Linked DNA regions of Schizosaccharomyces pombe. Changing the gene in region 2 together with the main gene of any one other region gives a genetic interaction. Each region holds a gene or a part of one and is shown on either strand. Other genes may lie near its edges. The genes, in order: erf2 and erf4.

What was found.
Region 1: of erf4 (region 2) and erf2, changing one enhances a phenotype caused by changing the other (phenotypic enhancement), as found in Schizosaccharomyces pombe (one study listed by BioGRID).

The regions. Positions count from the first base shown.
Region 1 is NC_003423.3:1,865,216-1,869,696, forward strand, and holds erf2 (palmitoyltransferase Erf2), read right to left. Parts: upstream 2,318-4,481; 5' UTR 2,235-2,317; coding exon 1,182-2,234; 3' UTR 606-1,181; downstream 1-605. Other genes in the region: elongator complex subunit Elp6, read right to left, coding at 1-116, 199-393; SPOM_SPBC3H7.08C (uncharacterized protein), read left to right, coding at 4,037-4,105, 4,175-4,226, 4,387-4,481. UniProt on the Schizosaccharomyces pombe protein: The erf2-erf4 complex is a palmitoyltransferase with a major role in driving sexual development. Palmitoylates ras1. Palmitoylates isp3. Palmitoylates rho3.
Region 2 is NC_003424.3:2,828,010-2,831,205, forward strand, and holds erf4 (palmitoyltransferase complex subunit Erf4), read right to left. Parts: upstream 1,176-3,196; coding exon 657-1,175; downstream 1-656. Other genes in the region: rit1 (initiator methionine tRNA 2'-O-ribosyl phosphate transferase), read right to left, coding at 1-340, 620-678; spd2 (ribonucleotide reductase (RNR) inhibitor family), read left to right, coding at 2,508-2,590, 2,790-2,797, 2,983-3,196. UniProt on the Schizosaccharomyces pombe protein: The erf2-erf4 complex is a palmitoyltransferase with a major role in driving sexual development. Palmitoylates ras1. Palmitoylates isp3. Palmitoylates rho3.

The DNA.
Region 1 (4,481 bases), on a different chromosome or scaffold from region 2:
TTGATGTGATTTTTGGTTTCTGGTGCTTGTACCTTCGAAGGCTTGGAAATAGGAGCAAATAGCATGCTGAAGCCATCGATAAAGAAGAAATTTTTTTTCGTTTTAATATCCATTCCCTAATATTGGTTCAGTAGGTTAGTCATACGAATAGTTTATCATTCAACCACTTATGCAATCGTAATCCCTCTTTTTACATACCCATTTACGCATACTAATTGCATGCTCATCTAAGGTTTTACTGAATGTTAAAAAACAAGTACTTTCCTTTGCTTTCAACGCATGGTATAAATAATAATGGAACAGAAATGTGACAGGTGTTTCTCTTGTTCCCAGTAGCAAAGTTAAAGAAAAAGGCTCAGGAATGGGGCGTAAATGCTCGTGTAAAGAAGACATTAGGTTTAAGAGCCGTTTGTCATTAGTTTTATAGCCTAACTACAGTAACCAGCTTTCCGAATGGTTGTAGAGGGTGAATGGAAAACACAAGCCTGGGAACGGAGCAACATGAACCAGAGTAAGAATGAACAAGCCGGTCAGTAATGCAAAGCTAGTTCTAATATTATAGAAGTTTCAAGTATCAAATTAAAGAAGTCTAATACCAAATTATTTTCCAGAAAACTATCCTCTAAATGTGGATAAGCTATTTCATTAAAAAAAGAAAAACTATCTACCTATGGAACATTGATTTGCCTAAAAGGCAATCATAATAATAAAAAAGAACAATAAAGAGCAAATCCCAATAAATTAGACTGGAAAGGGGTTTAGCTAAAGGAGGTAAAACCATCTATCTATCATATAAGTCATAAAAACAAGCAGCATTACTTTAAAAATAAAAGAGAGCAGCCAAATTAAATATTAATAATTCCAGAGATTGGTGAGAACAAGGAATAGTTTTATAAACATTTGTTTCTGTACATTGTTCTCTGTAAAGTACAAAGGGCGAGCTGAAGGGGTCGACGACAAGGATGAAAAAAAAGAACAAAACATTATCCAGGTAAAAATTTTGAAGAGGGGAGTAATCTTTTTTATTCCGGTTATTAAAACCAAATTAATTTCGGTACTGAAAAGTAAATTGGTAAGGGGAAGATGAAAGAGTGTAGCATATATGCGTGAGCGATTTGAGCATTATTGTCTAGCAAATAAAAAATTTTTATTTCTTATTTTCTTTGTGAAGCCAAGGCATATTACACGTAAGACTTCCTAGTGGGACGAACGTAACTCACATTTTTAGGACGACAAAGGACAACCAGAAAATTGAGCCATATGCTGTCATGAAAAGGATGTACATCTTCAGTTTCTGTACTCTTTGCTCGTAAGTATTCATGAACATTCTGACCAACAGATATTAAATAGCACTGGTAACAGAAAAGGATGCCAGGAAGTATTGCTCCAAGTGCCCCATAAATGCCAAGGAAGAAAGATACGCCAGCCCATGGACGACGAAGATGCGCCGCAAAATTTGTATCTGTGGATTCATGAAAACTTCCTATAGAAGTATAGAACCCCAATCCAGTTAGATACAAAGCTGAAAGAACGACAGATAACAAAAAAATAAAATAATATCTGTAGTTTCGACGACCAATGCAAGTGTTTAACCAAATGCAGTGATGATCAAGGTATTCAACACAATTATCACATAAATGACAATGGCTTGCACGTGGAGGACGATATAAGTGGCACGTATGGCAATAAACTGTATTAACAAAGACAGAGTCAGACCGAGTGGATCCAACAAGGACTTTACGGTCTTCAGGAATTACAGACCAGGGATGGGCAGGGTTATAAGTTAAAGAATATGCATTTCTAGGAAGAATTCCTGGATCAGCAGTCGAGCACTTGAACATGGAAACAACGGCTAAGGCATACAGGTAAGCAAAGGTAATAGGGACAGCGGGAGAGACATGATGCCAGAGCCAAAAAGCAGAAAAGATGAAGAAAAGGACTCCTGGAAGAATCAAGGCAAACAAGCTAATGAGGAAAGCTTTGTACTGAGATGACATTTGCAATCGACCACAACATAAATAGATATTGTTTCCTGGTAAATTCTTATATCGGCTTTCAATATGCGGTACTTCCGGAACATCATCAGGAACGGATTGAAATCTATAAGGAATTTGGTTCTTTTCTTCCAAATTCATGGGATACGTTGGATCAGACAAAGTCACCTCAAATGGATTCCATGGCTGATTCCACGCGTAGCGGGATGCCTTAGCATCACTGTGTTTCTCATAGCTCATGATTATATTCTCTAAACAACAAACATGGCAAAGAAACAGCTATTTTTACACCTGGTATTATATCTTGTAGTTTTGTTGTCGGTAAGGATATGAACCCCTTTTGCGATGGAGGGTGAAGTAAATATTAGCATCCGCCAAAGTTTGTTTACTAAGCAAATAAAGAAATCAAAATAAATAAACAATTAGAGAATGTGACTCTAATAACTAATATTTGGAATGGCGCCTATTTAATCGATGAGAGTGTATTAAAAAGAGAAGGGAAATAAAAACAGAATATGAAATGAAATGCTAAAAAAAAAAATACTAACCGAAGAAATAAAATTAATAATAATAAATAAAGTACTTATTTTTTTTTTACGAATAAAATGTAAAAAAAATTATTTAAGAGTGCCAATATATTAGTATTTATATTTTTCAAACTTTTTATTTAAATATATTTCATCGATACTGTAATTGGAACATCCTGTCAGTACAACAATTCAGGGCTCAAAGTTAGAAAAATCAAGTTTAATAAATTATACTATCCGTGCAATTTCGGGTTTGTAAAGAAAGTGGATAATATATGGAAAAATTAGTAATATATGACTCGATAAAGACTCCAAAGACTAAGATAAAAGACCAATATCATGGGAAGTAGACTAGCTAGTAAACCATTTTCATCTTGTGTATTATGTTTTTTTTTTTTTTTTTTTTTTTTAAAATGGCTAAATAACTAGCAGGAAAATAATGGGAGGGTGTAATTGAGAAAATATTAGAAATGAAGGTACGGAAGCAACGAAAAAAGATCTTAAAAGTTTATTAGAGTGTTGCAACTATTGAAATTATGATTATCGCGAAGCTATTAATGAAAGGGCTAATTTAAAGGATCATCTCTATACTTTCACTAGCCCCGAAATAACCCAATAACCTCTATGGCTTGTAAACAAATAACTCAAGAAACACGGTATATGGTCAGTTATGGATGAAATTTTGAAGAAAAATTATTACTAATCTACATCTAAGAAAAACCATCCTGGCTTCATTCACTGTATTTAGTGGAAATGTAGTTCACAAGATTATCGAATTAGATTGTTATTCCTCAATATGCATGACTCCAAGCGGTCCTTTGGTTTTATTTCCTGTTTTAAAGGGAAATGAATTAAATTCTTATTCCTTAGAAAATCTCAATGACGCTTTTAAACGTACTTGTACATTGGACCTACTTTACTGGAGAAACATTTGCGGTCAGCAACTACTATTAAGTTACTAACCTCATGGCAGCTAAATTTTGAAAAATGACTATATTTATTTATAATGGTACGAACCATTTTTATTTGTTTGCGAAGTTTTTTAGTGTTCTCTTCTTATTATTTACAAATATAATCTTAGGAAAAGTTTAGTAAATAAGTGTCCTAACAAATTCTATAGTATAATACAAGGGTAGAGGTAGTATCTGAAAAGTATTATAAAACTGTATAAAGCAATATAAATACAAGGGCGGTTCGATCCCGATTGCAAACGCTGGAAAATCTAGAAATATTGGAAAGTTGCTTCTTTCACCACTTTAGTAGAAGGAGTTGGTGATTATTATGATATTATTATCCATTCAAATTTGAATCTCTTAATGCGCACCGTTGCTACGTCTTGTCTGCGTCAGGTGGCGATCCCCATAAATATTGATGCTTGTCATAAATGTTGCGAATGTTCGCCTACGTATTTCATTTTGACATTTACAATCATAAAAGGATTTTAGATCCTTTCCATCTCGAAACAATTAATCAAACTATTCAAGCGAACAAGAACTTTTTATTTTTGGAACCATCATGTCAATTATGCGCTCAATTATGTCGAACCGCCTGGTTCGCTGGTCAAGAGAATATCCAGAACTATTTGTAAGCTCAATTTTTTTTTGAAAAATATATTGAGTTGATTATTTCGTAAGCTGATCAGTTTGCTGTTAGATAACTTGGTGTGTCATGACTTATACCTTTGGAGTTGCTGGTTATATGCTTGGTATGTTAAAAATTAGTAGAAAATTAGAAATCAGCGCAGTTAATGAAACATTATACTCAATTTTAATATTCTGTTAAAATTTTCCTACAGAATATTTATTTTACAAGCGCATTTACATATGATTGTTTAAATTAAATGATTGTAGCTAACAGTTTTTTAGGACAGCGGGGCTTGTTGGTACAACATGAAGATCAAGTCCGAATTCCTTCAAAAAATGCTCACCCCTGGGAAGACACCAAAAGCAGTAGCGGAAAA
Region 2 (3,196 bases):
CCGTTCGAAAACACATTTATTGAGCGTAGCAATCCATATCGGAATCGTCTTTGATAGAGCATCGGGCATTCTCTTTCCACGACGAGTAGAATCTACTATAATCAATCCATCACAAGTGGTTATCTCATTTAGCAAATGCAAATTGAGACGACGACAGCTAAAAGACCATTGCCCGGTATGACCATCAGTACTTTTGAAATAAACAGAAATCGGAGCATGTCGTCGGTTGACATACCACGTACCGCATCGTTCATTTACAACAGGTTTAAATGTGGGGTACGAAGCTATAACTGAGTCGACAAACTTGGCATCGTGTGCAATTGACAGCAACCGATTCTTTCTTGAAATTAGTGTTAGCCAAATTTTCCATTCGATGACATACAAATAAAAGAAAAGCAAGGCAAAAAGGAAAAACAAGTAAAAATCAGCAAAAATATATATCAGTACGAAATCCAACAAATGGCGATTAGGCTAAAAATTTTTCATGAAAATTTAATAGCAGCTATCCATCGTTTTTTCTTACAATTTGCATTAATTGCTTGTGCGTTTATAAAGGTAGCAATCATTTTCTAAGTCTTTTGATTCTGCCAGCTTATTTGTATAGCAAATTGAGACTTACGGGTGTCTTGCTTGAACATGAATTTGTTGCACAGCGTCTAAAGGGTCGAATTCGTCCATTCGTTTGGCAGATCACTTCTGTGAGAACTAGAAGTTGAGATATTTGAAGTGGTGGCAGTCACGGCAGAGGGAAGTGTTCGTATAGAATGGTGCTCCGGGCAGTACGGATTGGAATGGAGAGTACTACTTTTCGAATTTGTTTCTTTTGTATGAAAAACGAGACTCAAAAACCCCATATTGCGAAGGCTGGCAACGTATAAATTATGTTGGGTTGCAAAGTCCAGGATGTACAAATCGATCGCCCCAATTCTTTTACGATGAATACTGCCAAATACGAACTCCGAGATATAAATCGTTAAAACAGATAGAATTCCATCTAATAGATTTCCAATTGACCATGGACAGAAGGCTTCTCTCAGTTTCTCGTTTAATGTGTGAATGAATACATCCCAATCCTCAAGATTCACATAAGCTCGAAGAGGTACAGGATAATCGGTTGGAAATTGAGGATATTTATCTCCTGAAACCGAATAATCCCTTTCAATGCGAACAAGCATCGAAAAAACCTACTGAAATGAAGCTTGGTGGATTCCCTAGCTCTAGGTTCAAGTGTACAATATTAGAAGACGGATTAGAGAATATGTATAATGAAACTGGGATTCGGTAGAGCACAAGAAAAAAAATAAATAAACAGGAAAGTTATAAGTTAAACAACGTTAAAAATGACTAAAAAATTATAAAACACTCATGAGTTCATCGATTGATCATATAACCGGAACTAAACAAACAAACGTATTAAATGTCAGAATTGAGTGATTAATTGAGTGAATAGCTGTAAAATGGGCAATGATAACTCATTTTAAAAAATCATTATGATTAATTGAGTGAGTTTCAGATTTGAAACAAAAACCACACAGTTTGTCACTAGGTAATTTGAACGGATTTATAGTGAAAATTAAGATTGATAAAAGGATGTGGTTTTAGTTGTTGAGGAATTGAAAATTAATAAAACGTATTGCTCGTTCAGGAAGAGGATAAAAGCTCTCTACAGGATATATTTCATCTACGATAAAAGTTACTTAGAATGAACTGGAAAAACTACTTGGGAAAATAAATGTAATAAAATATAAAAAATATTCGACTGTATATTATATGAGCATTGACTCATATTACTTTAGTCGTTAGATGAGATAAAACTTTGACAACGAATGCGGGCTTTTTTGAAGTCCTTGCTCAGTCCAAGAAGAGCGTCTTAAATCAAGTTCAATAAACTTTTTTAGCTGCAAGGGAAGTTAGGTTGCTTTAAAGTACTCAGCTATCTAAAACTCATTGTGCTTGCTATTAAGTTAAGCGTTAAAGATCCTATTAGGCTTAATATCGTCTGCGTTCTATACGACTTGAAGCTTACTCGCTTCTAAAAGGAATATTCGTTTAAATAAAAGAAACATGCTAAATATATATCTATAGATTCTTACAACCAACTTTTCTTATCCATTTATGCAAGTTGAATTCATGATTTGAAGAAATTCCAAGAAAGACGATTAAAAAAGAACCCTCCTTTACGAAGATGAAAATTTAGTTTCTCATGATACCCATAACATAACTGTTTAAAGGAAATATGTATCGCATTACACTGTTTTGTTTTTTTTTTCCATAGGTAAACAATAGAAAAAGTGTTACCTGTCTCGAGTCACAGAAAATTCGTATGATCTACAATCGCAACCCCAAACTACTTACCATCTACCACCTAATCATTGAAAATTAAAAGATTGCTCTGCGATTGGTAATTGCTAGCATTTGTGATTCACCACTCCGTCTTTACCTATATTTAACTATACTTTGTCAATTTCCCCCTGTTTGATACTTTTTAATTGTTTTACTTATCCAGGATGTCTGAAACGTTCAAGCTTCCCGATCATGACGAACTTCCCCAGCTAGTTCAAACTACTCTTTTTGATGTTGGAGCCAGAGTGTAAGTTTAATCCAATTTTTTACTTTTAAACGTTGAATTATCCAAAATGCTGATTGTTCTGCTATCTTTTTTTGTAAGAGACAGGGCTTAAAGGTCTAAGTACTTTTTTGAAAACTTATAATACAATTGTACTGCAGCACGGCATTTGATGATTTAACTCTTTTTTAGTCTTTTTGTATAATAACTAACAATCATTTAGTCGCAAAGGTACGTGAATCAAATTTAAAAAAAAAAAATGAGTGGATTTGTTTATTAATACCTTAATCAAAAATTTCTATAAAGCACTCTTTCTTCATGTTTATACTTTTAATGGAAAACTGTTTTTATAGAAACTACTTCCTTTCTACCTTTTTTCCTGTTTAGATGAAAGCAGTTTTTACTAACTTTAGCAGCTGTTCAAACTGGTTACAAATTTGACCAACAACTTTTCCCTTCTTACCACAAGGATCAAACTGATAGAAATGAGCTTCCTCAGCAAAAACATGATCCTAATCTTCGTCTCGATGATTTGAAGCAAGAATTGGCTGCTGATTCTATTTTCTGGGATACCGCCTCCACTCAAGAAATCGCCGATTCTTTTGCCAAGCCTGATTTTCTCAAGTCTCA